Linked DNA regions of Oryzias latipes. The protein of the gene in region 1 binds, or shares a complex with, the protein of each later gene. Links are inferred from orthologs where the notes say so. Each region holds a gene or a part of one and is shown in the gene's direction. Other genes may lie near its edges. The genes, in order: cnot11, CCR4-NOT transcription complex subunit 7, cnot9, cnot8 and cnot10.

Region 1 (6,320 bases):
GCCATCTCCACTTCACAGAAGATCTCTGTGTGACAGATTGCGAGAGAAGAGCGGCGATGTGGCCAATGATTGAGGCAGCCAGACGAGAGGGCAAAACCGCTTACTACGTTGGTCCTCGAGCATATATCAACGGTAAAGAAGTCAGCTCTCAACACTGGGCTGTCTACCCAACAATATAAACTCATCCATCTTTTTGCGCTCTAGCAGTTTGCACAATCTGATTTTGATGAAAATCGGCCACTAGTTCCAATATCTTTTACCAAATGGGCGTCAGAAGGTTCTAATTGTATGTTCAAGTCGGCTTAAAGTTTATTCTGAATGTTTAATTCATCTTTTTTTTACCTCATTTACTTGAATCGTACATTTGTGTAAATATAACTAGTGAACGTTTATTTTCCTTTTTAGCACACTGGTTAATGCAACCCAGCTCACCAACTAAAGATCTTACTTTATTATCTTCTCTTTTTTATGTCGTTAAGTTTAGGTTCATTGAATGTCAGGGCGTTAAAAAAGGCTACCAAGCGTAAAGCTCTTTTCTTGTTTGCCAAAAAGTTAAATACAGACTTTTTCTTTTTTCAAGAGTCCCACTCTACAAAAGATGATGCAAATTTCGGGAGATCCCAATGGGGTAATAACATATTCTTTTCTCATGGAAGTCAGCACTCAGATGGCACTCTTACGGTAAAACACAAATTTGAAGGTGACAGTCTTACACATAAATGACCTTGGCATACGAAAATAAGACTTTTATAGCTATAAATGTATATGGTTACAATACTAAATGTGAAAATTCTCAACTCCTATCCATAATAGAAAATTGTTCACCTGAATGTTTAAACAAACTTCCCCATGCAATAATTATAATTGGAGGAGACCTGAATATGGTGTTAGATTGTCGACTGGATAGATGGCCACTACAAACTAATAATCCTAATGCTGAACTACTTTAATTTATACAAAGTTTTCATTTAAAAGATCCTTGGAGAGAAGAATCCAAACAAGATCAAGTTTTACATGGAGCAACAAAAGTATCTCCCGGCAGTCACATATTAGCCATATACTGGCTTGTTTTTGATCGTCTAGATACAGATGATATTAATATTAACATTTTTTTTTTAAAGATGGCAGTCAAATTCCCCGAGCCCTAAATCTAGTAAAAGATTTTTCTAATGGCCCTGCACTTCATCTTAACATCAAAAATGTGAAGAACTACCTATCAAATTTGACAAAACACGATCCATATGTAAAATTCCCATCACATACATGTAACACACCTAGGGATTACTATCACCAAAAATTATGGAAACTGTGTGTTGGCTCTCCAGCAGCAGCAGTTGTCTCTCTTGCCGCTCGGGAACTCTCTCCCGACGCCAAAGCCGTTAAAGACATCCCTGTTACACACAACCGTGTTTGCTTCTTAACTCTTAAATAATGGACACAGGAGACATTTCATTCTGAACCTGAAGTGCAGCTCCCCACTCACTTCGTCTTGACTATGATGAGAGGCTGCGCCTTCCTTTTTATTTTCAACTGCACGTAAAAAAAATTGGCGCATGCTTACGTAATAACATAATCAGACAGAGATCGTCTATGGTGACAGACATTGTACTCCAACACTGTGTAACATACCTAGGGATTACCATCACCTAAAACGAACATAAGAGAAGTTCTTCAAATTTCAGTCCCTAGTAAAACGTTTTAACTTATGGGTTTTAATTTAGGTCTCTTACCTGAGCCTAAAAGGCAGAGTACTGCTATCTCTACCTTCTCTTAACTCTCTCTCTCTCCCTCTCCCTCTCTATCTATCTATTTAAATAAAACAAATGTGAACGATTATTTGGTAGGAATAATTCATATACCATTTCCACCTGCTGGACTGGAGAGAAACTGAAGAAAACTACATCACCCAAGATGCAGTTCACCGGAAAATACGACTAAAAAATACTTCAAGCTAATGGCTCGCAGCACTATCCCATTCAGGGTCTTATTTCTTTCTCAGTCCTGGAAATATTATCTTTTGTAACTCTTTGGTTCGATTGATAAGTTATACGTTCATTTAATCTATTTGGATAATTATTTTTAAAAAGATGATTGATGTTTTGACGAGTTTCCCGGTTTTGTAGCTTATTTTTAAGCTAGGCTAACTTGATGCTAACCGCGTTATAGGATCTCAATCGAGATGACTTCTGGGCCACCGTCCTCCACTCTGCGTCTTCAAAGATGAATAAGCGGGTAAGAGCGCCGCTATAGTTATACAGAAAGACTTATCAGGGACCCCGGTCAATCTCTGCATCCGATCGAACTGTGGCGGGGAAACGATGACTCTGGCTCCAAAGGAACTGTCCAACCTGCTGAGCATAATCTCGGATGAGGCCTGCAACAACAGCTTCGAGACCCTCTCCACTCATTTCCATCATTACTTTGGGAAGGCGGACCACTTCAAGGTGGGTTCGGTTCTGGTCATGCTGCTGCAGCAGCCGGACCTGCTGCCCAGCTCTCCGCAGCGGCTCACAGCCCTCTATCTGCTCTGGGAGATGTACCGAACCGAGCCGTTGGCCGCGAACCCGTTCGCCGCCGTGTTCGCGCACCTGCTAAACCCAGCACCTTCCGGGGATGAGCAGGAGAAAGCCCTGTCCGGTAGGGCCGCTTCCTTTCACCTTTAGCCCGACGTCTCATCAGAACCGCAGCCGCTCAGTCTCTGTTTCGTTGGGTCCAGGCTTCCTTCCTCCCATCACGCAGCCGGAGAAGTTCTTCCTGTCCCAGCTGATGCTGGCTCCGCCCAGAGACCTCTTCAAAAAGACCCCCAGACAGGTGTCCTGCATGGACGTGAGCAACATGCCCCCATCTATAGACATCAGCGGGCTGCAGCTTCCTTTAGCAGGTCAGTGAAGGTTGTAAGGAAACATCTCATCACAGGTGAAGACGCCGTCAATCCCAGCCCTCTTTTTGCAGAGCGCCAGTCAGAGCTGCCCACCCAGAGCAAAGCCAGCTTCCCCAGCATCCTCAACGACCCCGATCCAGACTCCTCCAACTCAGGCTTCGACAGCTCTGTGGCCAATCAGATCATTGAGTCTCTGGTCACAGGGCTGCGTCCTCCTCTGGAGAGTAAGTGCTTTTTTTCACACAAGCTGTGATCACATCTGTGGAAGAAAGAAGGAATCTCCTCAGAAAAGATGGTAGCCGTCTCCTCAGCAAAAACTCACGGTTACAGGTTGATCGGCGCCGACCTGATCTGTTGAGTGCGATTGATCTTTAACTGATACTTTAAAAAAAAAAGTGTTTGAGTGACTGTCTAGAAGGTTTTTGCTGAAGTTATGTCATTTTTCAGTAGTTTTATATTAAAGTATTTAGACTTTGTTCAAAGGCCGTCTGTCTGAAGGTGTTGCTATGAGGCATGGTAAGTACCAGTTTCTCAAAACCCTCCCAGGTCATTTTCGACCCGAGTTCATCCGGCCGACGCCTCCGCTCCACACATGCGAAGATGAGCTGGCGTGGCTGAACCCCACCGAGCCGGACCACTGCATCCAGTGGGATCGGTCAATGTGTGTGAAGAACAGCACCGGCGTGGAGATCAAACGCATCATGGCCAAGGCCTTCAAGAGTCCGCTGTCGGCTCAGCAGCAGTCCCAGGTAGGTCTGATGCTGATCAACAACATGTTTGGTTTACACAAAGGCAAAGTCAGGGTTAAAATAAAAACTTTATTTAAAATAGGAACTCCTGTTCTTTGCAAAGAAACAAAAACTTAACTTCAGATCTGCTCTTTTTTCATTTTTAAATCAAGATTTATCAAAACAAAAACACAATTTGTGGGAAAAGTATTTGTTTCTTTTTTAACCTTTGTCTTCCTGGATTAGTTTTCTGGTGGTCTTAAAAAAAATCAACCTTTATTTTTCCCTTCACTCAAAAACTTTATCGTCCGTTCCCTAAAAGACAAATTATTTCTTGTGGAGGCGTTGACTCCTACTGCTGTGCACCGCTGTCACTCCTCTGTATTGACCTCGCCGTGTGTGCAGCTGCTGGCTGAGTTGGAGAAAGACCCAAAGCTGGTGTATCACATCGGCCTGACGCCTGTGAAGCTGCCTGAGCTGGTGGAGAACAACCCACTGGTGGCCATCGAGATGCTGCTAAAACTGATGCAGAGCAGCCAGATCACAGAGTATTTCTCAGTGCTCGTCAACATGGACATGTCGCTGCACTCCATGGAGGTGGTAAACAGGTGGGGGCGGGGCTTTGGCTGTATTCAGACCTGTTAACGAATCTCCAGTTGGGTTCCAGTTTGGTGCTGTTTCTGTAGTTTGGAAGTGATGGAGTTGTTTGCTCTCCTCCGTCAGGTTAACCACAGCTGTGGATCTGCCTCCAGAATTCATCCACCTCTACATCTCCAACTGCATCTCCACGTGTGAGCAGATCAAAGACAAATACATGCAGGTCAACACGCGTTCTTGGAACTGTGAACTGCTGAAGAGAGCTCAAGAGTTTTCCTCTGGAATAAAAACCCGCTTGATTCTTGCAGAACCGCCTGGTCCGGCTGGTGTGCGTCTTCCTGCAGTCGCTGATCCGAAACAAGATCATCAACGTCCAGGACCTGTTCATCGAGGTGCAGGCCTTCTGCATAGAGTTCAGCCGCATCCGTGAAGCGGCCGGCCTCTTCCGCCTTCTGAAGACCCTGGACACTGGGGAGAACCCGGCCGAGGCCAAGCCCATCAAATGAGCAGGAGTCCTGACATCAGAGGGAGCAGGGAGCCGTACAGCTCAGTCATGAGAGGACGTGCTGTAAATATGCAGCTCTGCGGAGGATCTTTGTCACTGACTCATCAATTTTTTCTTTATTAAACCCTCGAGTTTGTATTATTTTCGATGTCATTTCCTGAGTGATCAAATGTTGCATTAAGTCAAAGCTGCAGAAATTCCATAAGCTGCTATCACTTCGGCAGATTTACTGGAGCTCAGTGAAACATTTGAACTCAAAAGTGTTTTACTCCTTATTTTGTCTCCATAAAATTGTTGAGTGTTTGGTTCTTGTGTGCAGAGTTGTATGTTTGCAAAGCGTGACACAAGTTCTGACCGTTTTCTTCTGCTCCCAGTTTTCTAGCTTTTAAAAATGTTGAGGGTAAAGTTTTGCTGCAAATGCTTAAATCATTTAAAAAGGGTTTCAGATGTCGAAATAAAAAAACTCAGATTTTAGGATGACAAAAAGACCGACTGTTCTTCCCTAATCCCTATCTAGGGGCAGCAACGTCATACAGTCTGTGAGCAGAAAATGACAGTAAGGTCAGTTCACCAAATAACCACTATGTTTTGCAGACTCAAAATGATGGAAACTGGTCCAATTTCCCAACAAAAACTGAACCCAAAACTGTGGTGTCTGGGTATGAGGGTATAAGATCTTAAACCTGACATCAAACTTTCATCCAAATGAAGATGTGGCTTTTTTTTTTACTTGTCCTGTCCAACAGCTAGGCAGACAGATGAGAGCTGGAGGCCTCTTGTGTTGGACATGTTTTATTTTAACAACAGGGGTTATGAATCTTCAGACAAACCAGAGGTATGTCTGAATAAACCCCTTTTGTAATCGAGGCCAAACTTTATTCATTTTAATCATATTTGAAAATCTTTTTCGTTTGGAGCTTGTGGAAAAGGAAAGGAGGGAAGAAGAGAGAGGGATGTTAGAGGGGGGAGGGGTTAAAACCATGAAGCAGCATAAAGCAACAAGTTGCTGGATGTTTATAATAATTACAGTGAGGTTCAGATGTAATACAAGTCTATAAGGGCGCGGCCTGTCCACACACACACCCAAGTGTCACAAGCATACCCGTTGGCTCCAAAAATGTCAACATGTACACAATAACCCTTGTGCTATCCTATGACCCCACCCTTACATTGACGTGTTCTCCCTACCATGACAAAGGTGGATAAAGATGAAGACGATTTCATGTAATCCATGGACACCAGTGAGGTTCACAAATCATTGAAGAAAAAAGGTTCAGTGCACTTTCTAGTGGGACAGAGAGTGCAAGCTCCAGCCCAACCAGGAGAGCAGCCCCCAACGCAGGGCCCCGCCCCAGAAGAGCACCCACAGCCCCAGATGAGCACCCCACCACCACCCAGGAGTTCTGGGCATCCCTCCACCCCGACCCCGGGTACGAGCCAAGGGAGACCCGCCCCGCGCTCCAGGCAGCCACCCACCCGGCCCACGGTTGGTCCAGAAGAAAGCAAGGCAGGGGCCAGCCATCCCCACCCAGGAAGAGTAAGATGTGGTCTTTTCATTAACTAGTAACCCTGTTCCTATGACAGATGGATGTTTCTTTCCCGCCCATGC
Region 2 (6,669 bases), on another chromosome or scaffold:
CTAAGTCCAGGCCCCCCTGTTCTGGTCCCCATCCAGGATAAAATACACGGTTGTGTCAGGAAAAGCATTCTGCAAAAAACTCTCTGCCAAACCATTTGTTGTGGCGACCCATGAGGGAATGTGCCGAAAGGTGAACAAACAAACGATGGTCTTTGTTCTTTTTTTTTTTTTTTTTTTTTTTTTTTTACGATTAATCGAAAAATACATCAATCCGATTGAAGAGCTCAGAACATTTTTATTTAATTAGGAAGTATAAGCAAATATTGTGATCATTTGTTTTGCGTATGCAAGACATTTTCATTCAGAATTTTTTTTTTCAATTCATGATTTATTTCAGTTATGTTTTTATGACCAAAAACGTTGAAACATTGTTTTAAACTTCAATAATAAGAAAAAAAAAGCATTTTTGACATTATTGACATTTATATAAGAGCAATAAAATGTTGCAGGATAACATTTATTAACAATCAACATGGTTTTGATTCAATATTATAACATTTTTAACGATGATATTGCAAATTAAATAAAGTTTTAAATCAATCTAAAATGAGATATTGATAATATGTATATCAATTTTTATGTCTTGCAAAATGTATTATTTGAGATTTGTTTTGCTTCTTTTGATTCTCCAATTAATTAAGACAAAAATACAAACAGTTGTAAACATAAAGAAATAAAATCTAAAATTATGTAATTTTTTATAAAAATGTATTTACATATTTTTAAATAAAACACGAAATAACAAAATGTTTAAATGATTTATGAACGTGGAATGTATGAGCATCGAAAAATACCATTAACTGATAAAATTATAATAAAGAGAAGTAATTGCAGAAAAAATTAGCATGAAAAATGCAATAATTCATTCATTTTCTTAACCGTTTATTCCCTTTCGGGGTCACGGGGCTGCCGGAGCCTATCCCGGCCACTTGGGCATAGGCAAGGGATACCCTGGACTGGTTGCCAGTCTGTTGCAGGGTGGAATATCCTCAATCACACATCCATTCACTCTCACACTCACAGTTATGGACAATTTAGAGTTGCCAATTAACCTATGAAGCATGTTTTTGGATGGTGGGAGGAAGCCGGAGACCCCGGAGAAAACCCACGCATACACGGGGAGAACATGCAAACTCCACACAGAAAGGTCCCCCATTGATGTTCTGTTTTTCACGTCCCCCAGCCGGGACTTGAACCGGGGGCCTTCTTGCTGTGAGGCAAGAGCGCTAACCACTGCGCCACCGTGCAGCCTAAATGCAATAATATTTACTAAAAACGATTTTTTTGTAATCTTATATTAGCCACTGATTTTTTTTATTTTAGAAAAAATTACATAGTGGGAGATTGTCCCATTTTGTCTTTGTGTTGCAAATAAATAGAAGATGAGGAAGTGAAGCAACAATATGTTTATAAATAAATTATTTTGTTTTAAAAAGTACACATCCTACCTGAGGATGTGTACAAATCAAGAAAATGTGGGTCATAGTTTCAGGTTTGGCATCACAAAAAGAACCACTGGTGTCATCATTTTTGCAGCTGTGTAAAATACTTCATGCCCGAATTTATTCTCAATGTTGAAAAAACTTCCTTTGTGAATGAAGTGCTGGAGAAAATGAAATGTTATGAATTACTAACTTACGGGATGAGGGGTTAAAGGTCAAAGAAAAAGAAAAAGAATGAAATACAGATAACATAGAAAAAAATTAAACATTACAAAAATTACATAAGGTATGAAAAATTATAAGGGCATTTACACAACATATTGGTTATTGAGGGTTTGTGTTCAACAATAAAAGTTAAAGGTAAAATCTTTTTCACCCTAAATGTCCTCTAGTCCATATTTGTTGAAAATGTTTCCCTTAAAGATGTCAATCATATGCATTCTTTTTTTTCATCTTAGAGTGGTCATAAAATGATCAAAATCAACAAAAATGCGAACGTTGGATTATGATGCGTCTGTGAAAATTGTACTTTTTTATTAAAACAAGTGATTTGAAAAACGAATTTATCTCTGCATCATGTTTTACTTGAATTTAAAATGTGGCCTTTTTGGTTTCATGGCTAACATTTTTATTTGTGTAAAACTTTTTCAGTAATTTACCAAAATAATATAACTTTAGGGGCAAAAAAAAGTTTATTTTACTTTAATATAAATTGAAAAGAAAATATATTTTGTGAAAAAATAAAAAAAATCTGTACAGTATAATTTTTAAAAATAATATATCCTTTGAAAATAATTATATATACACTTTCAACGAGAGCCTGTTCACCTTGAATAAATTAGTAATTAATAAGAAATATATAACGTTTATTTGTACTTTTTAAAATTTATATATTCCTCTTTACAAACATTTATTGGAAAACCTTTTTTCACATTTTACGGATGAGGATCCTGAAACGTCCTTACGTCCTGACGTTTCACTTTACGTAATGACGTCACTGTGTGGGGTCCGCTGTGATGGCAGCCGTAGGTTGACATCAAGCCCCACTGAATATAAAAGTATTTCAAAGTTGGCGGAACACCCCCCTCCCCTCCCTGCTGACAGATATCACAGAACACACGGCCAGCTTTCAGATAGCACACGCTCAAACACGCGCGCGCCCGTTTCGGGGAACGGTGAGTCAACGAAACAAAACCTTTGCAGTCTCCCAAAAAAAAAAAAAAGAAAAGAAGTGACGCCCCGGCGTGTGTGCGCGCGCGCGCACTGCTGCTACTTACTCGTGCCTGTCCTGTTGTACAACCACTCCTGTGTAGTTGATCGAAACTAATGTTTTGTGTGAGAAAACCGCACAGTCGCCACTCCTCTTGTTCGGAAGTTTTACCTCCAACCCGCTAACTGTTAACAGGTAACAAGCTAGCAACAGTGCTGCTTTAAATTACGAGCTAGCAGGCGGCTAAAACACACATGACTTCTACTACTAACTAAGCGGCTCTTTTCATGTGGTTTCGGCTGCTTTGTCTGTGTTTTCATGATGCTCTCATCATCCCCCGCCCCCCATCTCCACGCGTGGTGAAGTGGCACTATGCCCGCAGCCACTGTAGACCACAGCCAAAGAATATGTGAGGTCTGGGCCAGTAACCTGGAAGAGGAGCTCAAGAGAATCCGGCACGTCATCCGAAAGTACAACTACATCGCAATGGTGAGAGATGCTCAGAGACCCCACCCATCCATCCACCTATCCATCCACCCACCTATCCATCCATCCACCCATCCATCCATCCATCCACCCATCCATCCATCCACCTACCCACCTATCCACCCACCCATCCACCCACCCATCCATCCACCTATCCATCCACCTATCCATCCATCCATCCACCTATCCATCCATCCACCTATCCACCCACCCATCCACCCATCCACCCACCCATCCATCCACCCACCCACCCATCCACCCATCCATCCATCCATCCATCCATCTACCCACCCACCCATCCATCCATCCATCCATCCATCCACCTACCCAACCATCGATCCACCCATCCATCCATCCACCCACCCATCCACCCATCCACCCACCCATCCATCCATCCACCCACCCACCCACCCATCCACCCACCCATCCATCCACCCACCCATCCATCCATCCATCCACCCACCCATCCATCCATCCACCTACCCAACCATCGATCCATCCATCCATCCACCCACCCACCCACCCACCCATCCATCCATCCATCCATCTATCCATCCTCCCACCCACCCACTGTCACTGGTGTCCACGGTCCCTCGTTCTTGCCTCTTTCAGGACACAGAGTTTCCAGGAGTTGTAGCCCGACCCATCGGAGAGTTCCGGAGCAATGCCGACTATCAGTACCAGTTGCTGCGCTGCAACGTGGACCTGCTGAAGATCATCCAGCTGGGCCTGACCTTCATGAACGAGCAGGGAGAGTACCCCCCCGGGACGTCAACGTGGCAGTTCAACTTTAAGTTTAGCCTCACGTGAGTCTCTCACTATGTCTAAACAGACTCGTCCGCTTGGATTCCCATGAACGACTTCACAATCTGTAAAAACAATTCAATTCAAAACACATTAAAGTCCTATATGCCTTTGATCTATTTTAAAAGCATTCCCAATCAGATTTAAATTATGGTTATTCCGTATTTTAGCCACACACAAAAAAAAGTTGTCATTTTCCTGGATATAGTTTCTGCAGTTTCTACCCTTTATTCTCCTTCCTTGTTGCTGAGAGCTCTCTGTTTACACAATCTCCCGGTAGCTTACAGCCCCCTCATACCGCCTGACCTGATATTGACCGGTGCAACAAAAAGGGCGAGCCAGCTCAGACGAGGAAGACGAAGGTTAATTTTCTTTATGTATCATCAAAAAAAAAAACCACCACCACATGTTAAGCCCTCCAAAAACACAACTTACATTTTTTTTATCAGAGGGGGTAGGCGCACAAAGGGGATTTAAATTAATCGAAGAGAAAGCATCCTGAATGAAAATAGGAGTTTTTATATTTAAAAAAAAAAAAACAGATCAAAGCTGCCTGAAAAATACAAGTAATTAATGAAAAAAATAGCAATAATGCATGCTCTAAATAGGAAGCACAGGTGTTTTTTTAATTGTTTTTTATTGTTAAACAGATGGGGTTTTTTTTTACTTTTTTTACGTAAGCTTGGGTGGCTTTTTAAAAAAAATTTTAAGTTATGTTTGTTTTGTGAATCATGTAAAACATCTAAAGATTCTTGGAGAAATCCATGGTGGATGTTCTGGGACGGAGGAGGCGGGGCTTACAGGAGAAGCATTTGTCTTTCAGAATAAGAGCGGCGCTTTCATCCCTTCTCACACGATTGGTCCCCCGTGGGTTCAACGATGCTTTTCAAAGTCAAGCGTTATTCTGTCCATCGTTCCCAAATGGAAGAATTTGCACTTTTTCCAGCATCCAGTCAGATCCTAGTCGATCTATTCCTGCCTTAAGTTTTTTTTTGAAGGTTTCCCTCTTTGCTGAGCAAACCTACAAAGTTTAAGTTTTTTAATGGTTATTCTGTGGCGTTTTGTTTGTTGTTTTTTTGGAATGAAAGCGTGAAGCTTAGAAACAGAGATGTGTTTTATTTATTTATTTCATTTATGTATTTATTGTTTTAACCAGAGAGGACATGTACGCGCAGGACTCCATCGAGCTCCTGACCACTTCAGGAATTCAGTTCAAGAAGCACGAGGAAGAAGGCATCGAGACGCTGTTCTTTGCAGAGCTGCTGATGACATCAGGAGTGGTGCTCTGTGACGGAATCAAGTGGCTCTCCTTCCATAGGTAGCCCCCCATCAATAGTTGCTCTTCACGTTTGTTATTGACGGTAAAGTCATCGTCTTTTTCAAGCTTAAATAACAAACTCTGCATCCCGCGCCGCTGCATCTTTTATTTTATAACAAACCTATATGTCTCTACCTGTTTTTTTGTGTTGTTTTTAGCTAATCGCTTCCTTTTTAGGAGATATTTAGGTTTAAGTTGAACGATTTTTCACATCTGCGCAGCACCAAAGACTTTCCTTCTTATCGTTAGGTTTGGATGTTGTCACTTTTTCTTTCAAGGCGACTTCCTTCAGTCATTATCGTTGTTCTGTATTCAGCGCCGGTTTACCGGAGGAGAGACGAACCAAAACAAGGAAAACAATCTCCTTCGCAAAAGGATGTGAACGCCCTAAACGTTTCTGAAAATGATGCGGCGAGGCAGAAGAAAAAGTTCACAGGACAAGCAGAGCTGTTGAAAACAGCTTTGGACTCAAAACCATATGTTATAAATTTGAAAGAGAAATATTTTAAATTCAAAAAATGTAGGGAAAAAAGAAGAAAAAGCTCTTATCACTACTGTACGTCACATCTGAATAGGGATGACACAGACGGGGCCGTCAACAGATGCTGTTTGGGGGTGGAAACGACATCACTGAAACCTGTCACCTGGTGTCAATCAAACACCGGTAGCCAATGAGCACAAAGCTCCGCCCCCCGGGTAAAATTAGGATCGACTAACTAAAAGTCAGAATTAAAACTGTAAATTTAGGTCTAAAGGAAAAAACATACGTTAAAATTTGCCAAACAGCAGCTGTTACTAATATTCTTTTTTTCAAATTTACAATTTTTGTCTTTCACATTTTCAACATTTCTTTCATATTTGTCTAGTTTAAAACTTTTTTTAGACAGTCTTTTCTCAAATCTGATCTATCATTCACCTTTAGCTGATTCTGATTTGACCCCATATGCCAGTTTTTTTGTTTTTGTTTAGGCAATGTCGCCCCCCAGTGGACAGCTGTTGTAACTGTAGCATTTCCTACAGTTTTCCTACAATCTGTGCTTGGAAGTAAAACGTTTTTCTTTCTTTTTTTTGCTGGTTGGAGTTTTACAATAACGGTGTCTTTGTGTTTCGCAGCGGCTACGACTTTGGATACTTGATCAAAATTCTTTCTAATGCAAACCTACCGGAGGAGGAGGCTGATTTCTTTGAGATTCTCCGCTTGTACTTCCCGGTCATCTACGATGTCAAGTACCTCATGAAGAGCTGCAAAAACCTGAAGGTACCCAAGCAAAGACTGCTTGTTATATCACACCAGCTTTAAAGTAGCATCTAAGATTTCCAGAAATTCATCTTTTTGTTTAGTTGTGGAGCAAAATGGCAAAAAACAAGAATCGTACTTTTAAGCTTTTCACTGATTCTTTAGAAGAAAA
Region 3 (4,660 bases), about 1.9 Mb from region 1:
GCCCGTTAATTCGCGAATTGCATGTAAAATATCAGCATTTGACACCTGTTCTTCTTTTTTTCCTGAACACTGTTTCTTTGACAGAGGACTTGAAGCAGGAGATTCAAGCAGCAGTGCACAAGCAGAACCTGCGCCCTCTTCATCTGTGTCCATTATCATGTTCCCTTGATTTTATCTCGTTTCGGCATGGCGTTAGCAATAGCTAGCTAGCAGTCGCAAATAGTGGTGGATTGAAAGATCTTCCCCAGCAGGAACTCCCAGAGCGAGTAAGTAATATTAAGTTCGTTTTTTTTTTCTTTATTTTTTTTTTTAAGCAAGCTCTCTTACCGGTAGTCAGTCAGTGTATTCATTTGTTGTCTTGTTACTAATAGACAGGGTTTGGCACGCAAACTTCTGCAGAGTTTAGAACACTGTATGCTCGCGGTCCGCCATCTTGCCGAACCGCCGGACAGCTCGAGGAAGTCGGAACCGGCTCATAAGCCACTCATCCTCGTTTGCCAGGAAGTCTTCTTGCTGTCTAAATATGCGTTCACTCCGAATTCTTCCATTTGCCACATCTTCTAAGAGCGCAAGATAAGCCATTGAGCGTCATTACGCATTGTGATGGGGCATTTTATTTCCATCCATTTAATTACATCTGACAAGCTACAGATGTCGGTAATAATCGACGTGGAAATGGGAAATTGATCAGCGCAAATGTAATTTCTTGTTGCTTTCTGAATGGTTGAGACATACGCTATACATTGTTTTATCAAAAATAAAACAAACTAAAGGCATATGCATGAATACCATAATTCCATAGCTTATGCCTTATGAAGAAATGTTTTAATATGAAAACAACTTTCACCAGTGGACAATTAATGTCTGTCTGTCTGTCTGTCTAATTGCACCAATATCTGCTCCGCCAGACGGACACATTAACGAGAATATCAGTTTTGTACATTATTTCGTTCTGTTAACTATATTGTTTATGAGGATGAATTGCACTACATGCCAATATTGTAGAACATATTTCACTTTTCTTTTTGCAAATATGTGTTCATTTGAATTTCTGTTGTAATTTTCGTTTGATTTTTTTGTTTGTTTCACTGCTGATCGATCAAACGGGTGTTCGTGTAGCTGTTAATTGTAAGACTTGCTTTGTGAAGTCTTCATGTTATTTCTGAGAGGCAGTATTGTCATTTTCACTTTCATGTGTTTCTTCCATCTGCCGACGGTGTCGCCGTTTCTCATTTCACCCGTTTTTGTGCGTACGCCTGGGTCAGAGCTTGCGTGAAGGACCGCACATTTTCCCGTCAAGTTTGCTTTTTATAAATCTCAATTATTGCGTAGAGAGTGGCGTACGCCTTCTTTTGTGCGTACGCAACGTTTATAAATGAGGCCCCAGGTCTTTTTGCGTTGCTGAGTTCACCAGTGCTTTCTGTCTTTCTCAGGATGTACCACACTGTTGATTTTGCCACTCCTAATACTGTAGCAATTTCTGGCATGTTTTTTTTCTGTTTTCTCAGCTTAATGATGGCTCTTTTCCCCTGCATGGAGAGCTCCTTTGACCGCATGTTGTCTGTTCACAGAAAAATCTTCCAAATGCAAGCATGAGTCCTCTAATCTTCTCCAGGCCTTTTATCGGCTTCACTCATAATGACATAACAAGGGAATTACCCACACCTGCCCATGCAATAGCATGGAAGTCAATTATCCAATTATTTACGAGCCCATGAAATGAAGGGATTGTGTTTAAAAAATGCTTTAGTTTTTCACATTTTTATGCAATCTTTTTGTTCAACCCATGGAATAAAAGCTGAAAGTCTGCACTTCAACGGCATCTAAGTTTTATTTAAAACTCACTGTGGTAATGTACAGAAACTAAATTATAAAGAATGTGTCTATCCAAATATTTACGGTCCTGACTGTATGCTACACACCACAATAATACGATCATTTTATCTGTGCAGGGCAAGATGGTGCTGCAGCTCTCCAAAGAGCCATCAGCTCGTCTGCTGAAACACGTTGTCCGCTGCTATCTTCGCCTCTCTGATAACCTAAGGTAAAACAGTCTCCGTGACTAAATTTGCCTTTTTTATTTATCCTAAAGTTCCTGGAAAACAACTATTTTGATTGCAAAAAAAAAAATAGAATTTGATCTGTGTTTTTTGCAACTATCATTACTTAATGTGTTTCTACTGGTTAAAAGTGCTGCAAAAACAAGCATATAGCAACTTACCGGTAAATGGGAATTCCACATAATGCCTTCAGATATTTCTTTCTTTCCTATTTTGGATGAAACATGCATTTTTGGGATAATGAAACTTGGAAAAGAAGGGTAACAGTTGTCTGAATTAATCAAAAGTGATAAAAGATTTACAATGATCAGCTTTTTTTTTTTTTAGAACTTTTAAAAATGCTGTATAAACAAATGTTTATTTTCTGATTGGCTGATATATGAGAAGTTACATATGTCCTACAGTGATTTGACATTTGGTTTTCTTTTCTCAGAGCCAGAGAGGCCCTTCGTCAGTGTCTACCAGACCAGTTAAAGGACAACACCTTTGCACAGGTGCTGAAGGACGACACCACCACCAAGCGCTGGCTCGCACAACTAGTGAAGAACTTGCAGGAAGGCCAAGTTACCGATGCTAGAGGCATCCCACTTGCTCCACAGTGATGGAGCTTCAATCCACAGTGAGGGGGTGTGGTTCCAATGGACACAAATGGACTCACTTGGTGTTTTTTGCCAAATTTGGTGCTAAAGCTATGCACTGGAGAGGCTTAAAATAAGAGATGTTTTTCTTTTGCTTTAGTTTGTTTTTCTAAAGATAGGGTTGTTGTCAAAACTGTACACTTTTATAAAAAACCTTAAAAATCTGATTTTCAAGCCTGACTCATTTGGACGCCTAGTACATTACTTCATTTTATATGAGCAACTGGCTCAAATATTGACTGAGACAAATTTCTTTCTTGCTACCCTTTTTTTGTCAAAGATGTTTGTGAAATGTTGAGGTACATTATGTTGCATTTAAGGGAAAACTTGCAACTTCAGCCCCGTTTCTGCTTTAAAATTTTCTGAAAGAAACAACATATGAAAGTTAGGAAACTACATCCAAGATTTTTCTCAAACAGCATTTTTCTGCAAGTCATCCTGAAAACTGTTCTTAAATCTGATGCTGGCGCTTTTTATTGTTACCACTCGATCTTTCTGTAACTTCCAATAAAAGCTGGTTTTGCTTCTAAAATGAGCATTTTAATTTGCATTAGTTCTATGATAATAGTGAGCAGGAAATCACAAATATTCTACAGTAAGTGGTTGTTAAGGTTTAACAGTCATTCTCTGATATTTTGTCTATTTACAGCTACACTTTTTTGGATACATAATTGTAAACATTTTTAAAAAGTCACCATTTGTTTGTTTGACCTTTAAGACTTTTCCAGAGGATGATCAAACTCAGGATGTTGTGTGAATGAGAAGTGCAATTAGAGGAACTCCTCCCTTTAGTCTTGGAAAGACGGCTGTCCCAAGTGGCCAATTTTTTAAAGGATATTTATCTGGATGGATTATGGAATAACACACTGGAATAATAAGCACATTTTCTCTTGAAATATTCCTGTCAAAATATTTCCAAACAAGAAAACTACTTGTACTGTCATGTAAAGTATTCTTAGAAAGTAATCTTGGAGATGTTTATTGATAATTGATTAGGCATCTGTCTATTTAAGCGTTCTATTGTTTTTGCATTATAAAGGCTTCAATTGTTAGCAGTGGAGCATTAATTCTCTGGTTGTTTAATGTCTGCTCTAATAATCTGACAATTTCTCATGTTCTTAAGTATTGGCAATCCTTTCAACACATTTTTTATTTTTTTTAAATCAAATATTTATTTTTCAAAGATGTGTTATCTTTTAGGGAATAGTTTCTTTAAAACATTGCTCATGCTCTGCAACACCACCTGAAAATTAAAAGTATCAAAGATCCACCATCTAACAGAAGAAGAGTCACACCCATGTATGTAAAGCACCAATGTGGTCTCATCAAACTAAGGGAAAGACCTCCATATCACCTTCATGTCGCAAGTTGTTAAAGCATAGGATAGTTGGCATATATCTTGGTGATTTTCTTGGATGAAGGTTTTCATAAGACTTTTATAAGATAAACAGAGATTGGTTCACCAACAACTATTTTAGCAGACTTCTTGACAGAATTAGCAAAATATTTTAAAACCCTTTTTCTTTAAACAATAATACACATTAAATGTGTTTTAGATACAGTGAAGTTGCATTACAGCCTTCAACCAAATAAGAGCAACCACATTTGAGGCCGATTTCTTTTAACTTCTCCAAACCCCTTTAGACACATTTTGAAGAACCTCATATGTGTAGCCACCTTAGAACGCCACACAAAGAAACAGAAGCTCATCTTTCCTCACTGTGTCCTCTATCTTTCATGTCTGCTCGCTCCACTAATGAACCTTCATTTCCCCTTTACCGGTCCATTAACAGATTGTTGTCCACATGGGCTCCATTAGCCACGTGGACTCAGATATAAATCATGCATCATGGATTTACCTGCGCTCAAGCCTTCCATTTGAGAGAAAATCTGATCCCAGTGGGACAAGTTTCCTAAGTATCCACTACCTGTTTTTGTCTTCTCTTTATCAGCTAGTGTGCA
Region 4 (6,669 bases), on another chromosome or scaffold:
AGGGTGACATTTGCATCTCCATTTAGCCTTTCAGTCCTCAGACTTTCTGCTTTATTGTTATTCAGGAAGTAGAATTCACACCTTCACAGAAACCTCCTGGATTTTTTTTCCTTTCCCCGTCAGGACGTTCACGCCGCTGCCATCAGGAGCCTGGCAGAGCTGACGGCTCGATCCATCGAGCTTTTTCACAAACTGGCAGAGATGATCCTCTTCTCCAATGGCAGCGCAGACGCCAGCGTCCTGTCACAGTGAGGCGCTTTCCTCTGAGCAGCTCTCCTGCCCGTCCAGCCTCTCATTGGCTCCTGTGTTGCGTGTCTTCAGGTTGACTGTTGTCCTGTGTAAAGAAGTCTCTCTGCTCTCCAAGAAGTTCACGTCCTGCTTGACGGCAGCGGGGGTAAGAGGGCAGCGTCAGTGTCTTCTTCCAGAAGCTCCTGTTAGACGGCTGGAACTGAGACTGACGACATTCAAGAGTTCCTCCTGCAGAAAGCCCAGTAGCGCCCGGTCCTGCAGTGAGGCCACGGCTGCAGTTGCCATAGAAACCAGGGTTTTTCCATTCAAATGTCCAAAGTTTCACTTTTCCTCCACCTTTTATTTCTTAATATAGATTTGAGTCAAAAACGAGTTTTATAGAAGATGCGTTTATTGTTGTTGGTAAATAAAATGAAACACTAGAATAGGCAGGAAGGGGTTAAAGCACAGAACCGAACTGCAGGATGCTTTCAGGTCCGCTTGATCCCGGTACCGGTTCCACAGACGTTCTCTCTCTGCAGGCTAACGCTTTGCCCTGTTTTTCAGTCTCAGGACAAAGGAGACGTGCTGAACCCCCTGATTACAGGAGTCTTTCTTGAGGTGGGTGTGCCATCGCTGAATGTTCATGTTGCCCCTCCCACAGCGCTCCTAGAAATGCTCCTCCCACACAGGCGTCCAACAGCGCGTCCTACATCCAGGACGCTTTCCAGCTTCTCATGCCGATCCTGGAGATCTCCCACATCCAGAGGAGCGCCGCGTCTCCAGAGAACCGACGCCGCTGAAAGCCTTTTGAAGAACTTCGGCCGGAAGGAGAAAAGCTTTTAGTCGCACCGTTCTGGGGGTTTGTGAAGCACAGAAGCAAACATGAGGCGTCCTGACCTACAGGGACTCCACTGCTTCTGCAGAAACAAACAGGGAAACACTTTATTATCACACTTCTGCTCAAAAAATTCTTTTAATGAAAAAAATCGAATGAAAACTTGTAGGGTAAGGTGGGACGCTTTAAATAAGAAAAAAAAAATTAAAAACAAAAATCTGAAACAATTAGAAACGACCCAAAAATGTGTGATGTTTGCACTTTTGTCCCGGTATCTTTGTTGTTTTTCTCCGAAGGTTCTTTGACTCTCCCCATCAGCAGAGACGCTGTCGCCCTTAAGGGTCATCTAGGGATTCTGACTCAGAGTTGCCTCACCTGAGCACGAGTAAAGGAGGGTTCCTCGCTGCACTTGTAACCTCCACCAAGGCTTAGTGCTACATGGAGGGGTGGGGTCCCGTGGGAGGATGGGTTCTGCCCCCAGGCGGTAGCAGACAGAAGTCATTTTACTACTAATCAATAAAGAAGCTTCTGCAGTCACTTTGCGTTGACGAAGCAGAAGCAGCTTCACCTGCAAGGTGGCCTTCAAAGCCACACCCTCTTTTTAATAATTTTCCTTATTTTTAATCCCCTGCTGTTGTTTTACTTTATTATGAAGTTGTTCTTCTGTGTTTTTCCCTTAAAGCTGCAGCTGTTTCTGTGCTAAACATGATGTTTCTGTGGAGGACTGAAACTCACTTCATTCAATTGTGTAAAAATGTAAAATAAAAGGGTTCGGATGGACCGATTTGAACGCTGTTTTTCATTAGTTTCCTGTGACTTTTTGTCAAATCTTTTCCTTTCATGGTCATTGGTATCACATGGTCTACAGAGGGAACTACAGAGGGAGCAGCATGTGCAGCAGCTGCTCTTTCACCATTTTTTACCTCATCTAGGTTTCCGCGTCGCTCAGCAGATGCGTGTTTGGGGAAAGAAATACACATTCGTTTATACATTAAAAATACAGTTTCACATGAAAATACCTGTAAAACACAAGGAGTAATGAATGTTTCAATGAAATGTTGATATTCAAACAAAAACATGATATACCTACATGTCTCATGCTGTCTTTCATATGTTAAACTAAATTCATATTTACATTTTAATTATATGTGTATTGGAACCGTTACAAAGGTTATCATGGTTGAGTCCTGCACAATATAACCATCATATAGTTTGATAAATAATGTTTATTCTAATGTGTTCTCTGCTTGGCATTTTAGTTACATATTTGGGTTTATTGTTTTCAGTTTACAAACTTTTTTTTAAATAGTGTTTTTTTTTGTATTTCTGACATTTTTATTATGATTATTCCTATAATTTATTAAAAAGGTACAATGAATGACCCATTTACTGCATGGATGAGGGCCTTTAGGAAAAAATTTGTGTTGAAGTAGTTAATATGAATTTGACATATGAATATATTTAAGTAACAAAAAAATGTAAAGATAAGTCATACATTTTTATTTAATGGATGGATGTCAACAAATGAAGTAGCGTTGTGGAGCTTCCGCTCCGGACCGGCAGGGGGCAGTGTGCACGTTTATAGTCCACTCCAAACCGGAAGTGAGACGGTAGGAAATGAAGGAAGCAGACGACAGCGTTGTGTCGAGGGAATTTTAAGGTAAACCGGTTACCTAATTAAACGACTACATTTTTTTTCCCGGGCAGCTTCAGTCAGATTAAACACTTTAACAGGGCCACGTCATTTATTTATTCTTCAATGCTGCGTCATCTCTGCAACTTGACCGCGCGCGAATATTAACGTCTATGCTAACTGTTAGCATCGATCACGGTTTGTTTTCATTTTCTTTTCTGCTTAAGAACAATTTTAAAGTATATTTGTTTTATTTATAGTGTTAGAATGATTGAAAATATCGGTTTTATATTTGTATTTCGGCTGAAGTTAAATTAGTAAAGCCAGTTCCGCACTACAGTCAGTACGGAGTCGGCTGTCATGGCAACAACAGCGTTTTTTTAATGCTGTTCTTTGTTGTTTCTATTTTTATTGTTAGTTTTTGCTCGTTTTGAGAGCCTCCATACAGCGTGTACTTTCATTATATATAAAGATCTATGTGGAAACGCGTCAGGTAGACTGTAAAAATCCCAGTTACAGACTACAGAAACGTCATTTTACCATGTAACTTTCAGTGCTGCTGTTGAACTGATTTTTTTTTTAAACCAAATATATGGTGACACCCAAGACTACTTGGTGGATTATTACATACAGAAAGCAGTTAGTCTTCAATCTATCAATAGCATTTTGAATCAAATTGATGCTGTGAAACAGGGAAACAATTGTTAAGGGGTCAAAGCAGGACAGAGTAAAGACACGGTTTGACCCTGCATTTGACCTTAGATCAGTAAATGATGCCATCATGACTGGGTAACTTTTGAATAAATTAAGTAGACTCTTATTAGATGCTCAGCTTCCAAAGATTCCCTATTTTTATGTTGTATACTTGTGATGATTTGACGGCATTACTCTGAGATTTAAGTACGTTTTTTCTAAATCTCCTTTCGCAGTTCTTTTTTTGTTGCACGGTCCCCCTTCCCACCCCCCCTTGAAGCCCTGCAGGACCGTCGGGTCTCCTAGGAACCTGCCAACATGCCAGCTGCTCTTCAAGATTCCAGCCAGATGATCTGTGAAGTCTGGGCGAGCAACGTGGGGGAAGAGATGAGGAAGATACGGCAAATTATCCAAAGCTACAACTACGTTGCCATGGTTACAGGCTCTCCTTTCTTTGTTGACAGTTGAATTCTAAAAAGAAAAACAAAGAACGTAAATGTGGTGATTGCAAATGTGTGCTAGTCTCTTCCTTTCCTGGAGTGTCCTAACCCTGCATTTCTGTGTCTTAGGACACGGAGTTTCCCGGAGTCGTGGTCCGACCCATAGGCGAGTTTCGCAGTACGGTAGATTACCAGTACCAGCTGCTGCGGTGCAACGTGGATCTGCTGAAGATCATCCAGCTTGGTCTCACATTCATGAACGAGGATGGGGATTACCCCCCCGGCACGACCACGTGGCAATTCAACTTCAAGTTCAACCTGACGTAGGTGCTTCGTCGTCTCATGGGACTGAAAACGTTCGCTGCTTCCTGTCAACCTGCTGGCAGCCTAAGCCACTTATGTGCTATGATGACAACAGTCTTTAAAAATAATAAAAAACATAAACAGAGACGCCTGTAAATTAAACTCCAGTACGTAAGCCTTAAACAGGCTGTGAAAGATGCAATGAGCCACTTCTCCACTAGGAGACAGTATTTCACACAGAAGTTTGTGCCTCAGCTGTTCTACTGTGGTGTTAAACTGCATGAACTTTTTACTTTTTTTTTTTTATTAGATGTATTTTAATAATTAAAAAAAGGTTGATTTACATTTTTGTTTACTCCTTTTCATAAATCTCTGAAAAGTGAAAGGTTCACAGGTTTTCTAGTGAAATAAGATGATCAAGTCCTGAAATGATCCTTGATGTTCTCTAACGTTGTGTGCAGTGAGGATATGTACTCCCAGGACTCCATAGACCTGCTCCAGAACTCGGGTCTGCAGTTCAAAAAACACGAAGAAGAAGGAATCGACACGCTGTACTTCGCCGAGCTCCTCATGACGTCGGGTCTGGTTCTGTGTGAGAACGTCAAGTGGCTGTCCTTCCACAGGTCGGTTGTCTGCTGGCTTGTTCCATGAACGGGGGTGGGAGGGGGTCTTCTGTTTGATCTTTCAGAAATCATAAAATATAATTAAAATCACTTTAACCCAGTAGAACCCACGGTGACGTCAGTGTAACAGAAAATATCAGAAATGGATTCTTTGGTCCATTTGGTTTGTGGTTAAAATATGCACTTTATTTTAAACAACAAATGGGTCTGGGTACTTATGGGTTAACACCAGAATAGAGATCCAGATAAAACAATGTAAGCAGGTCAAAAACATCTCTTTTACTCTGAACTTAATCCTTGTCAGAGGAAAAACTTCTCTGGGATCTTCAGGGAGAAATTTCAGAGATTAGCTGCATGGAGCTGAATTCTGAGCTCCAGTTAAAGTTCTGCCTCTGGTTCATTCCAAATATGATCTCTGATGCTAAAGCATGAAGAGACTTGAACAGAAGCAGAACTATTTGAAAGGCTGTTGTGTGACCTCGGGACTGATGGTCAAAATCAGAAGCGGAGCAGCAGCGTTCTGGATGAACTGCTGCTTCTTTTCTGGGTCCAGACGTTACAGCAGTCTGACCTGCTGGAGACAAACTCCACAATAAACTGGTATCTTAGTCCTCTTTGGTTCTGCTGATGTTTCTTAGACGATATAATGTAGATGACGTTCAAGATTATGGAACTTTAAGTCTTTGCAGAGCTTTTTAGAGCGACCGTCACCATTTTCCCTGTCTTCCTCTGAGACAGACACGATCTAGAAAAGGTTTCTGGGATGCTGCTTCTATTCACATTGATAGTAAACTTTTGCAGAACCTCTGAAACTGTTCAATGTCTAGAGGAGTTGATTCTCTGAGTTTTTAATCATTAATAATTTTTGTTTTGTCTCAGTGGTTATGACTTTGGCTATCTGGTGAAACTCCTGACGGATGCGCGGCTTCCAGAGGAGGAACACGAGTTCTTTCAGATCTTAAACTTGTTTTTTCCTGCAATTTACGATGTGAAGTATTTGATGAAGAGCTGCAAAAGTCTGAAGGTAAGGCCTGCGGGTCACAGGGTTTATTGCTTTCTACATCCCCGAGGAACGTGGAGCCGTCTCACTCCGTCTCCGCTTGTTCCTGCAGGGGGGGTTGCAGGAAGTGGCCGATCAGCTGGAGCTGAAGAGGATTGGCCGGCAGCATCAGGCGGGGTCGGATTCGCTGCTCACGGGCATGGCTTTCTTCAGGATGAAGGAGGTACAGTCTTCATCGTTTTCCGGCTGACAGCTGTTCTGTTGCAGCTGGAAGTTTTTGTGAATCTGCTTAGATGGTTTATAAAATGTCTTTCGAGAAATGCATTTATAAATGCGTAGAATTGTAGATCTTTAGTGTTTTATGTGTGGACATACACTCACCCACTTTAGCAGCTCCACTTTGCTTGTACCCTCTTTAGCCTTCAGAACCGCCTTAATCCTCTGTGGTTTAGAATCAGCAAGGTTCTGGAAACATTCCTCAGAGACTTTGGTCCATGTTGACATGACAGCATCAGTTGCTGCAGATTTGTCAGCTGTACATCCATGATGCCGATCTCCAGTTCCACCGCATCCCAAAGGTTCTCTATTGGGTTCTGGTGACTGTGGAGGCAGTTTGAGTCCAGAGAACTCATTGTCATGTTCTAGAAACCAGTCTGAGATGATTCCAGCTTCATGACATGGAGCCTTATCCTGCTGGAAGTAGCATCAGAAGATGGTCCACTGTGGTCATGAAGGGATGGACATGGTCAGCATCAATACTCTGGTAGACTGTGGTGCTGGAACCATGCTCAGTTGGTACAAAGAAAACATCCCCACACCATGACACCACCACCACCAGCCTGAACCGTTGATACAGGGCAGGATGGATCCATGCTTTCATTTTGTTGAGGCCAGATTCTGACTCTACCATC
Region 5 (6,425 bases), on another chromosome or scaffold:
TGCATCGTCCACGTTTGGAGCATAAATATTGACTAAAACAACCAATAGACAGTAAACAACCAAGACTCTCATCCAGGTTGATTCCATCATAGTAGTAGGTTTAGGGGCTGTCATCTGGACTTAGTTTTTAAAGTTAGAAGAAGATGTTTCACCTCTTATCCAAAAGGCTTTGTCATGACAGCCCCTAAACCTACTATGACAAAACAACCAATGTTTTGTGAAGTCTGTCAGAGACAATCACATACCGTCCAAATTTTTCTGAAACCACATTATGAGATTCAAATGGGACATCATGACTGATCAAAATTGGGACCCCTCATGTGCCGTGTCACATGTTATGTGGTTACAAAAGTGGTCAGAATTGTAACTTACCAACAACAGTAAGTGTCTGCATACAGGATTTTAGGTGGAGGTTCTTGGACATGCTTGAACTTTTCAGTCAGCCCAGTCTTTTTTAGCCCTCTTCAGATTCTGATGCCACCACAACAGTGGTCAGACATTGACCCCATTCATTCAAGACACTCCTGAGGTATTGCATTGTTGCTTGATCTTTTTCACCTGCTGCAACACACGCACAGAATACAAAAGTGCACTTACAAAATTCATAAAGAAAATTTGTTTATCAAGTATCTTGTTAATACCTGCCAATGTATGAAGCTCAGCATCTTTAATTTAACCAGGATGGTCGTGGCTCCAAACAGGAGCAACAAGTGTTTCCTCCTGTTTTGCTTTGTGTTTCTGTGGGGGAAGAAACATCCCAAATTTTCATGTAGTTAAAAAAATGAAGAACAGATGCATCACATTTAAAATAACCAGTTTCTTCTGATGTTTTATTTATTTATTATTATTTTTGAGATGGTTACTTACTCTCCTGTCCAGATGAACTCTAATTGAAGGGAACTGCTTCACCACCTCCAGCAGCCTCTCCTTCTGCCACTTCATGGATTCGTTTTTTCTCCTTCAAGGAAAATTCTGCCAATAGGTTCGCTGAGCACAGCTTGTGCTCAACAGGTGCTGTTCGTTTTCAACCTTTTACTCACAATCACCTGTCTAGAATCAGCTGCAAATTACACACAAGTTTTCTGTGTTGACATTGCAATTACCAGGGAAAAAAAGCTTTTGTTTTATCTCAGCTTAAAGATGATTTGTTGTAATTCATCGATGCTGTTATTTTATTTTGTTCTGCATCCACATGATTGCGTTTGCACCTGATTTCAGATTAAACCGGTTCAGTGTGGGACACACTTGTGGTTTCATTTGAATTTGTCATATCCATCCATCCATCCATTTCTGTGTCACAGTGTTGTCTGTCGTAGGGCACACAATCACACACACATGCACACCTATAGGGACACTATTAGAGTAGCCAATTAACCAATGAAGCATGTTTTTAGACTGTGGGAGGGAGCTGGAGTGCCTGGAGAAAACCCACACATGCATGAGGAGAACAGGCAACTCCACAGACAAAGGTCCCAGTCGGGATTTAAACTGGGGCCTTCTCAGCACTAACCATTGTTCCACCTTGCAGCCCAGCGGCATTGTTATATTTGAACCCTGTTGAAGGGAATTTGCAGGACATGGGTGGGGGTGGTTGGGTGTGTTATGTTTTGGGGATGGCTCCCATCCTCGTCTCCTTGATTAGCTGTTTCCTCTATGTTCTTTCTTAACTCCATCTCTGCCTCTTTTTCTTCACGTTGTCTCCTTATTATTTGAAGTTTCCATTAATCTGTTTTAGTTCCTCTGTTTCTTCTTCTACCTCGCCTCACCTTTCCCTCTCCTGTCCATTGGAGAACAAGGAACAGTTTACCTTTAACTTGCATCTGGTATTTCATTTCTCACTGAGGTTATTGTAGTTAACAAGAAAAAACCAAACTAGATGTGATAAGGCACAAGAAGGAGACAGAGGCTTTGGGTAAGTAGCTCAATGACACCTGTGTTGACACCTTGATGCTACAAGACACAATCTCCAGCAGCTGCTCAGAGATCCGCCCAGCCTGCTGAAGAAAGAGGCGCACCATCAGACTGACCATAGCCACTGAGGAGAAGGACTGGAAGATACAGTTGAGGAGGAGGAGGAGCAGCATCATCAGGTGTCACTGAACTAATCCATGCGTATACCCCTGCAGGACTTGGAGAAGAAGCTGGATGTGTGCCGATCCTCATTGACGAGGCAGCTGTTGACCCAAAAGGAAAAGAGCAAGGAAGTCAGAAAAGAATCTTGCAAATAACAGGAGCAGACTGATCAGCTGAGCAGATACATCCTAAAGAGTTTCTGACTGTTTCATTCTCTGCCTTTTACTGACAGACAGATATTGGAAGTGGAGAAGTTCCACTATTGAGCTCATTTAATGAAGCCACAGAACTGTCTTCTACCTGATCAGCAGCCTGACTCGATAGGACGGATGTTAGATTTTGTTAATAAAGTTTGTTTATACTTAACTACAAATAAAGTTTATTCAAAATAAAAAAAGACGGCGCGTGCTCTCATTCTTACCATGGACAGTTACTTCCAAAGGGGGCGCTGTTGACAAACCGTGCGCTGGTGTCGATGGCGCCAGTGACCGAAGAAGAACCAAGAGAAGCGGCTACAGCAGTCAGTCACTGAAGCCGACCACAAACAGAGCTGGTCCGGTTCGTGTAAAACTCTTTCCAGTTGGATATTCAGGATTTCCTCTTCCCGGCGTTGTTCTTGTGTTCTCCTACAGCTCCGCGGCTGGATTGTGGATGAAGACCCGGGAAATGGCCGAAAACTCCGGTGGGTGTTCCGGCTGATGATGCTACTAACTAGCTGCTGCTCAGTTAGCGGCTGCTTCTGCATGATGATGATCCGTCAGTGTAGCTGAAACCCCCCCAAAAGACATTAGAGGTAGCCCGACAGCCCCGTGGCAGATCCAGGACTCCCAGGTAACCGTCCCGAAGTTGGGGTGCAGATAATACTGAGCAGACTGTGGTTAGATCAAAGTTCTTGAGGTGATCCAAGCAGGTCCTGCTGCTCATCATGGAACTATGACAGGACAGACCATAACTCAGACACAACACCACGTATGAAGGAACCCCAGCTTGGCCATGAACAGACGCGTCCCACAATAAACTGAGAGAAGGTCATTACGTCGTCATACACGTGACATTCTTTTGCTAAACTTAAGGCTACAATATCTGCCTTAAATGAGAGGGATTTTCAGAAATGGTCTTAGGAAGTTACCATGTGGGGTCTGAAGCCTCCAGAGTGAGAGGGAAGGACTGCAGAGACATGGCGCCCTTTGGGTTCTGGTTGAGCCACGCATTCCGTCCTCAGGTGGAACTCAGAGGGTTTGATGTCTCCTCTGTTGCAATTTCAGCCGAACGCAACGAGGAGAAGCATGACGGCTCGGGTGTGACGGGCATGAGCGACCAGGAGAAGGAGCTGGCCTCGAGTGCGTACGAGTGCTTCTTGGTAAGTCCGTCTCTCTTCGGATCGTCAGCAGAACAGGTTTTGGTGCATGTGGTGGAGGCTGGAGCTGGGTAATGCCACACGACGTGAAGCCTCTGTGTCTCACAGGCTGGACGGTACGAAGAGTCCATGAAGCACCTGGAAGCCCTGCTGGAGTTCAACAAAGAGGACTACAAGATCGCCATGAACAAGGCCGTCACAGAGTTCTACAGGAGCAGTCAGACCACCACGGGCACTTTGAGGCAGACGCTGATGGCCATGAAGAACCGGGTAACAGCAGCTCACCGACACCTGCACTCTAATACGTTATGAGACGTTTGATTGGCCGACTGTGTCCGCCAGCTCCACTCATCGCTGACGGAAGACGCCGATGGCCTGGACGACGTGGAGAACAGCCTGCTGTACTACAATCAAGCGGTCATCTGTTACCACTTGAAGCAGTTCTCTGAGGCCATTTCCATTGGAGAGAAGCTCTACCAGTTCTTGGAGCCGTTTGGTGAGTAGTCAGCAGGGCAGACTCCCCGCCTGCCGCTGTCTGTGGCACAGGTGCATGCTCTGCTCTGCGTCTGGACGTTCACATGGGGGTCACTGAGGTCACATTGTGAGAACACTGGGGTCCTGTTGTGTCCCAGAGAGGTCTGTTTCAGAAATGGAGAGTCCCTGCAGCCTCATTGATTATGGACCTGGAGTGTTTGACGACGCTGAAGTTGGCTTCCGATTCACAGCTTCCAATTCTCCAGGGGACTAAAGGAACATTCCACGGCATTTTTCACATGAAGGCCACGTAGAACCGGTTCCTCTTCAAACCCCACAGGGCCTGGACTGCTCAAACCTGGATTCCATTATGATTTAAATAGTAAATACATTAAACACAGATGTGGAGAAGTCTTCATGAATGTCCAATGAGGTTTAGTGCATGGACACACCATCTTTGGTCATGTGACCCTAAGGTCTGTGCTGAGCTCAGTTGACGAGTTTTCAGCTCCCTGGTAGTTGCTCTTCAACCAGATTCTACAAACTTCTAGCTTTTCCAATAATGGGAAATGTCAGATGTTGGGGGGGGCACACCCAAAGTCACCTGTCAGTCACCAGATCACGCCTCCTTTTTGATCCCAAATACCCTCAAATGGAAGCATCGTCTCCATTGTAGTGTCTGTAAATGTAATGAGAGGTCAAACCTGGATTTATGCTGGTGCTGCCTTTTCTGATGTAAACATCCCAGCTTTCTTTGTGATCTGACCAATCAGCTGATACTTTTCTTTTCAAACCAGCTTCAATGATGAAGTTAAAAGTCTTGGTTTGAGCCACATCTTCAGGCTGTCCATCTTCAGACGGCATGTTGTGCAGCAGGATCTGTTCTCAGCGCCTGTGGGTTCAGCTTTTTTCTGCAACGTTCTGTCTGAAAGCTCCTGTGATGGATCAAGTTCCCACAGTCACCGTCCTGATCCTCAGGGACGCGTCCCGCACAGTCTGACCCAACAGGAAGCCTGCTGGTGCAGACTGGACTGGGGGGGATTGCTCCATGCATGGCGTGCCTTACATCAGGTCTGCTCTCGGCTGTGTGTGTAAAGACTTTTTCATTTGTCCCAGAAGAGAAGTTTGCTCAGGCCGTCTGCTTCCTCCTGGTGGACTTGTACCTGCTGACCTTCCAGCCAGAGAAGGCGCTGCACCTGCTCGCCGTGCTGGATAAGCTGTCTGCTCAGGGCGGCAGCAGGAACGGGAAAGGAGAGGTAAGCGGCGCCGGCAGTGTGATGAAGAGACGCCTCATTTACAGGAGGAGGCTTTGTTCTACTTAGATTTGTTTAACCTTTTTCTGTCCCTTAGGTAAATGTTAAACCTTAAATCCTAATGATTTACAAGAACAAAGATGTTGAAAAGCAGAGTTATGGTATCTTTCGGAGTATAAATAGCTTTTTAGTTTGGGCAGGGGTGTGACTTATACTCAGGAGCAAATGATATATGTGATTTAAAAAAACTGTTTTTTAAACTGAGTCTGAAGAGACGGAAGCACCATTCAGACGCAGCTCCTGCAGCAGACGGTGAAGCTCACCGTCCTGGGAGAATCTGTGAACGATGTCATGGAGCGGCTGTGACTACAGAGCTCTTCAAAAGTCTACCAAAAGTTAGACTTGCAGTCCAGAGCCACTTGTAGTCTGTGAAGTACTGGAGTTAGTTTCTCTGCAGTTTTCTTTTCCTCACTCCAGCCGGTTTCAGGCTGCAGTGACGGCTCGTGCGGCTGCTCTCTGGGCCTCTTCATGACAGGCTGCAGTTTTTTTACTCTTTTAAAGCTGCCTCTCTTGCTGCTCGCTGTTTTAGGAAATGCATGGCAGCAGCTGACGCGTCACTGTCGACCTGCCTCCTTCCTGTGGGTTAGAAACGGAATGAAGGGACCGACCACGAGAGTCCTGTTCCTCTGTCCACTGTGTATATGATGGAAGCATTACTGTTATGTGTGTGTGCTTGTAGAGCGCCACTTCACATAAGGACGCTGGCAGCCAGAGGGCGGAGTTTGCAGCCATGATTGAAGCAGCAAAATACAAACTCCACCAGGTCAGAGCTCTCTGGGTCCTCTCCCTTCACTCTGCTGCCTTGCTCCAGAACCCTCACTCTCTGTCTCCTCCCTCTAGTACAAGGTCAGAGCCTACATCCAGATGAAGTCTTCCAAGGCCTGTAAGAGAGAAATCAAATCGGTGATGAACACAGCCGGAAATGTGAGTTTCCAGTGGGCTCCATGCACACAGCCTTCCTCTGTCCAGAGAACCCTGAGTCTCCTGTTTAGCTCCATTCTGTACAGTCAAAATCATGAGATTCCAGGTCTTTGTATTCAGTTTAGCTTTGTTTATATCTGCCTCCCATCTTTTTCATGACTGGATTTCTACTTAGAAACCTTTTTTTTGATAGAAATCGTGCTGCTGGATGCTTCACCAGTGACCCTGGAGAGGACATGTCCTTGCTTATTTCAGTTTTGGTGCTCACAGGCTGAACTGTGGTCATG

The links.
Region 2: cnot11 (region 1) and CCR4-NOT transcription complex subunit 7 share a complex: the UniProt entries of both Homo sapiens proteins name them as parts of the CCR4-NOT complex. The link is inferred for Oryzias latipes from reciprocal best matches to the Homo sapiens genes CNOT11 and CNOT7.
Region 3: cnot11 (region 1) and cnot9 share a complex: the UniProt entries of both Homo sapiens proteins name them as parts of the CCR4-NOT complex. The link is inferred for Oryzias latipes from reciprocal best matches to the Homo sapiens genes CNOT11 and CNOT9.
Region 4: cnot11 (region 1) and cnot8 share a complex: the UniProt entries of both Homo sapiens proteins name them as parts of the CCR4-NOT complex. The link is inferred for Oryzias latipes from reciprocal best matches to the Homo sapiens genes CNOT11 and CNOT8.
Region 5: cnot11 (region 1) and cnot10 share a complex: the UniProt entries of both Homo sapiens proteins name them as parts of the CCR4-NOT complex. The link is inferred for Oryzias latipes from reciprocal best matches to the Homo sapiens genes CNOT11 and CNOT10.

The regions. Positions count from the first base shown.
Region 1 is NC_019879.2:14,489,794-14,496,113, forward strand, and holds cnot11 (CCR4-NOT transcription complex subunit 11), read left to right. Parts: upstream 1-2,318; coding exon 2,319-2,637; intron 2,638-2,716; coding exon 2,717-2,881; intron 2,882-2,952; coding exon 2,953-3,105; intron 3,106-3,427; coding exon 3,428-3,630; intron 3,631-4,014; coding exon 4,015-4,217; intron 4,218-4,332; coding exon 4,333-4,429; intron 4,430-4,514; coding exon 4,515-4,712; 3' UTR 4,713-5,019; downstream 5,020-6,320. UniProt on the Homo sapiens protein: Component of the CCR4-NOT complex which is one of the major cellular mRNA deadenylases and is linked to various cellular processes including bulk mRNA degradation, miRNA-mediated repression, translational repression during translational initiation and general transcription regulation.
Region 2 is NC_019868.2:26,782,978-26,789,646, reverse strand, and holds the start of CCR4-NOT transcription complex subunit 7, read left to right. Parts: upstream 1-2,415; 5' UTR 2,416-2,617; exon of another isoform or gene 2,618-2,847; intron 2,848-3,017; 5' UTR 3,018-3,024; coding exon 3,025-3,141; intron 3,142-3,750; coding exon 3,751-3,944; intron 3,945-5,098; coding exon 5,099-5,260; intron 5,261-6,373; coding exon 6,374-6,518; intron 6,519-6,669. UniProt on the Homo sapiens protein: Has 3'-5' poly(A) exoribonuclease activity for synthetic poly(A) RNA substrate. Its function seems to be partially redundant with that of CNOT8.
Region 3 is NC_019879.2:16,419,802-16,424,461, reverse strand, and holds the end of cnot9 (CCR4-NOT transcription complex subunit 9), read left to right. Parts: intron 1-1,952; coding exon 1,953-2,044; intron 2,045-2,493; coding exon 2,494-2,662; 3' UTR 2,663-3,230; downstream 3,231-4,660. UniProt on the Homo sapiens protein: Component of the CCR4-NOT complex which is one of the major cellular mRNA deadenylases and is linked to various cellular processes including bulk mRNA degradation, miRNA-mediated repression, translational repression during translational initiation and general transcription regulation.
Region 4 is NC_019872.2:29,378,195-29,384,863, forward strand, and holds the start of cnot8 (CCR4-NOT transcription complex subunit 8), read left to right. Parts: upstream 1-2,627; 5' UTR 2,628-2,726; exon of another isoform or gene 2,727-2,897; intron 2,898-3,628; 5' UTR 3,629-3,710; coding exon 3,711-3,827; intron 3,828-3,961; coding exon 3,962-4,155; intron 4,156-4,596; coding exon 4,597-4,758; intron 4,759-5,637; coding exon 5,638-5,782; intron 5,783-5,870; coding exon 5,871-5,981; intron 5,982-6,669. Other genes in the region: protein FAM114A2, read left to right, coding at 124-248, 322-394, 796-849, 921-1,031. UniProt on the Homo sapiens protein: Has 3'-5' poly(A) exoribonuclease activity for synthetic poly(A) RNA substrate. Its function seems to be partially redundant with that of CNOT7.
Region 5 is NC_019874.2:7,744,531-7,750,955, forward strand, and holds the start of cnot10 (CCR4-NOT transcription complex subunit 10), read left to right. Parts: upstream 1-2,528; 5' UTR 2,529-2,724; coding exon 2,725-2,755; intron 2,756-3,338; coding exon 3,339-3,433; intron 3,434-3,538; coding exon 3,539-3,700; intron 3,701-3,772; coding exon 3,773-3,926; intron 3,927-5,020; coding exon 5,021-5,160; intron 5,161-5,896; coding exon 5,897-5,980; intron 5,981-6,057; coding exon 6,058-6,141; intron 6,142-6,425. UniProt on the Homo sapiens protein: Component of the CCR4-NOT complex which is one of the major cellular mRNA deadenylases and is linked to various cellular processes including bulk mRNA degradation, miRNA-mediated repression, translational repression during translational initiation and general transcription regulation.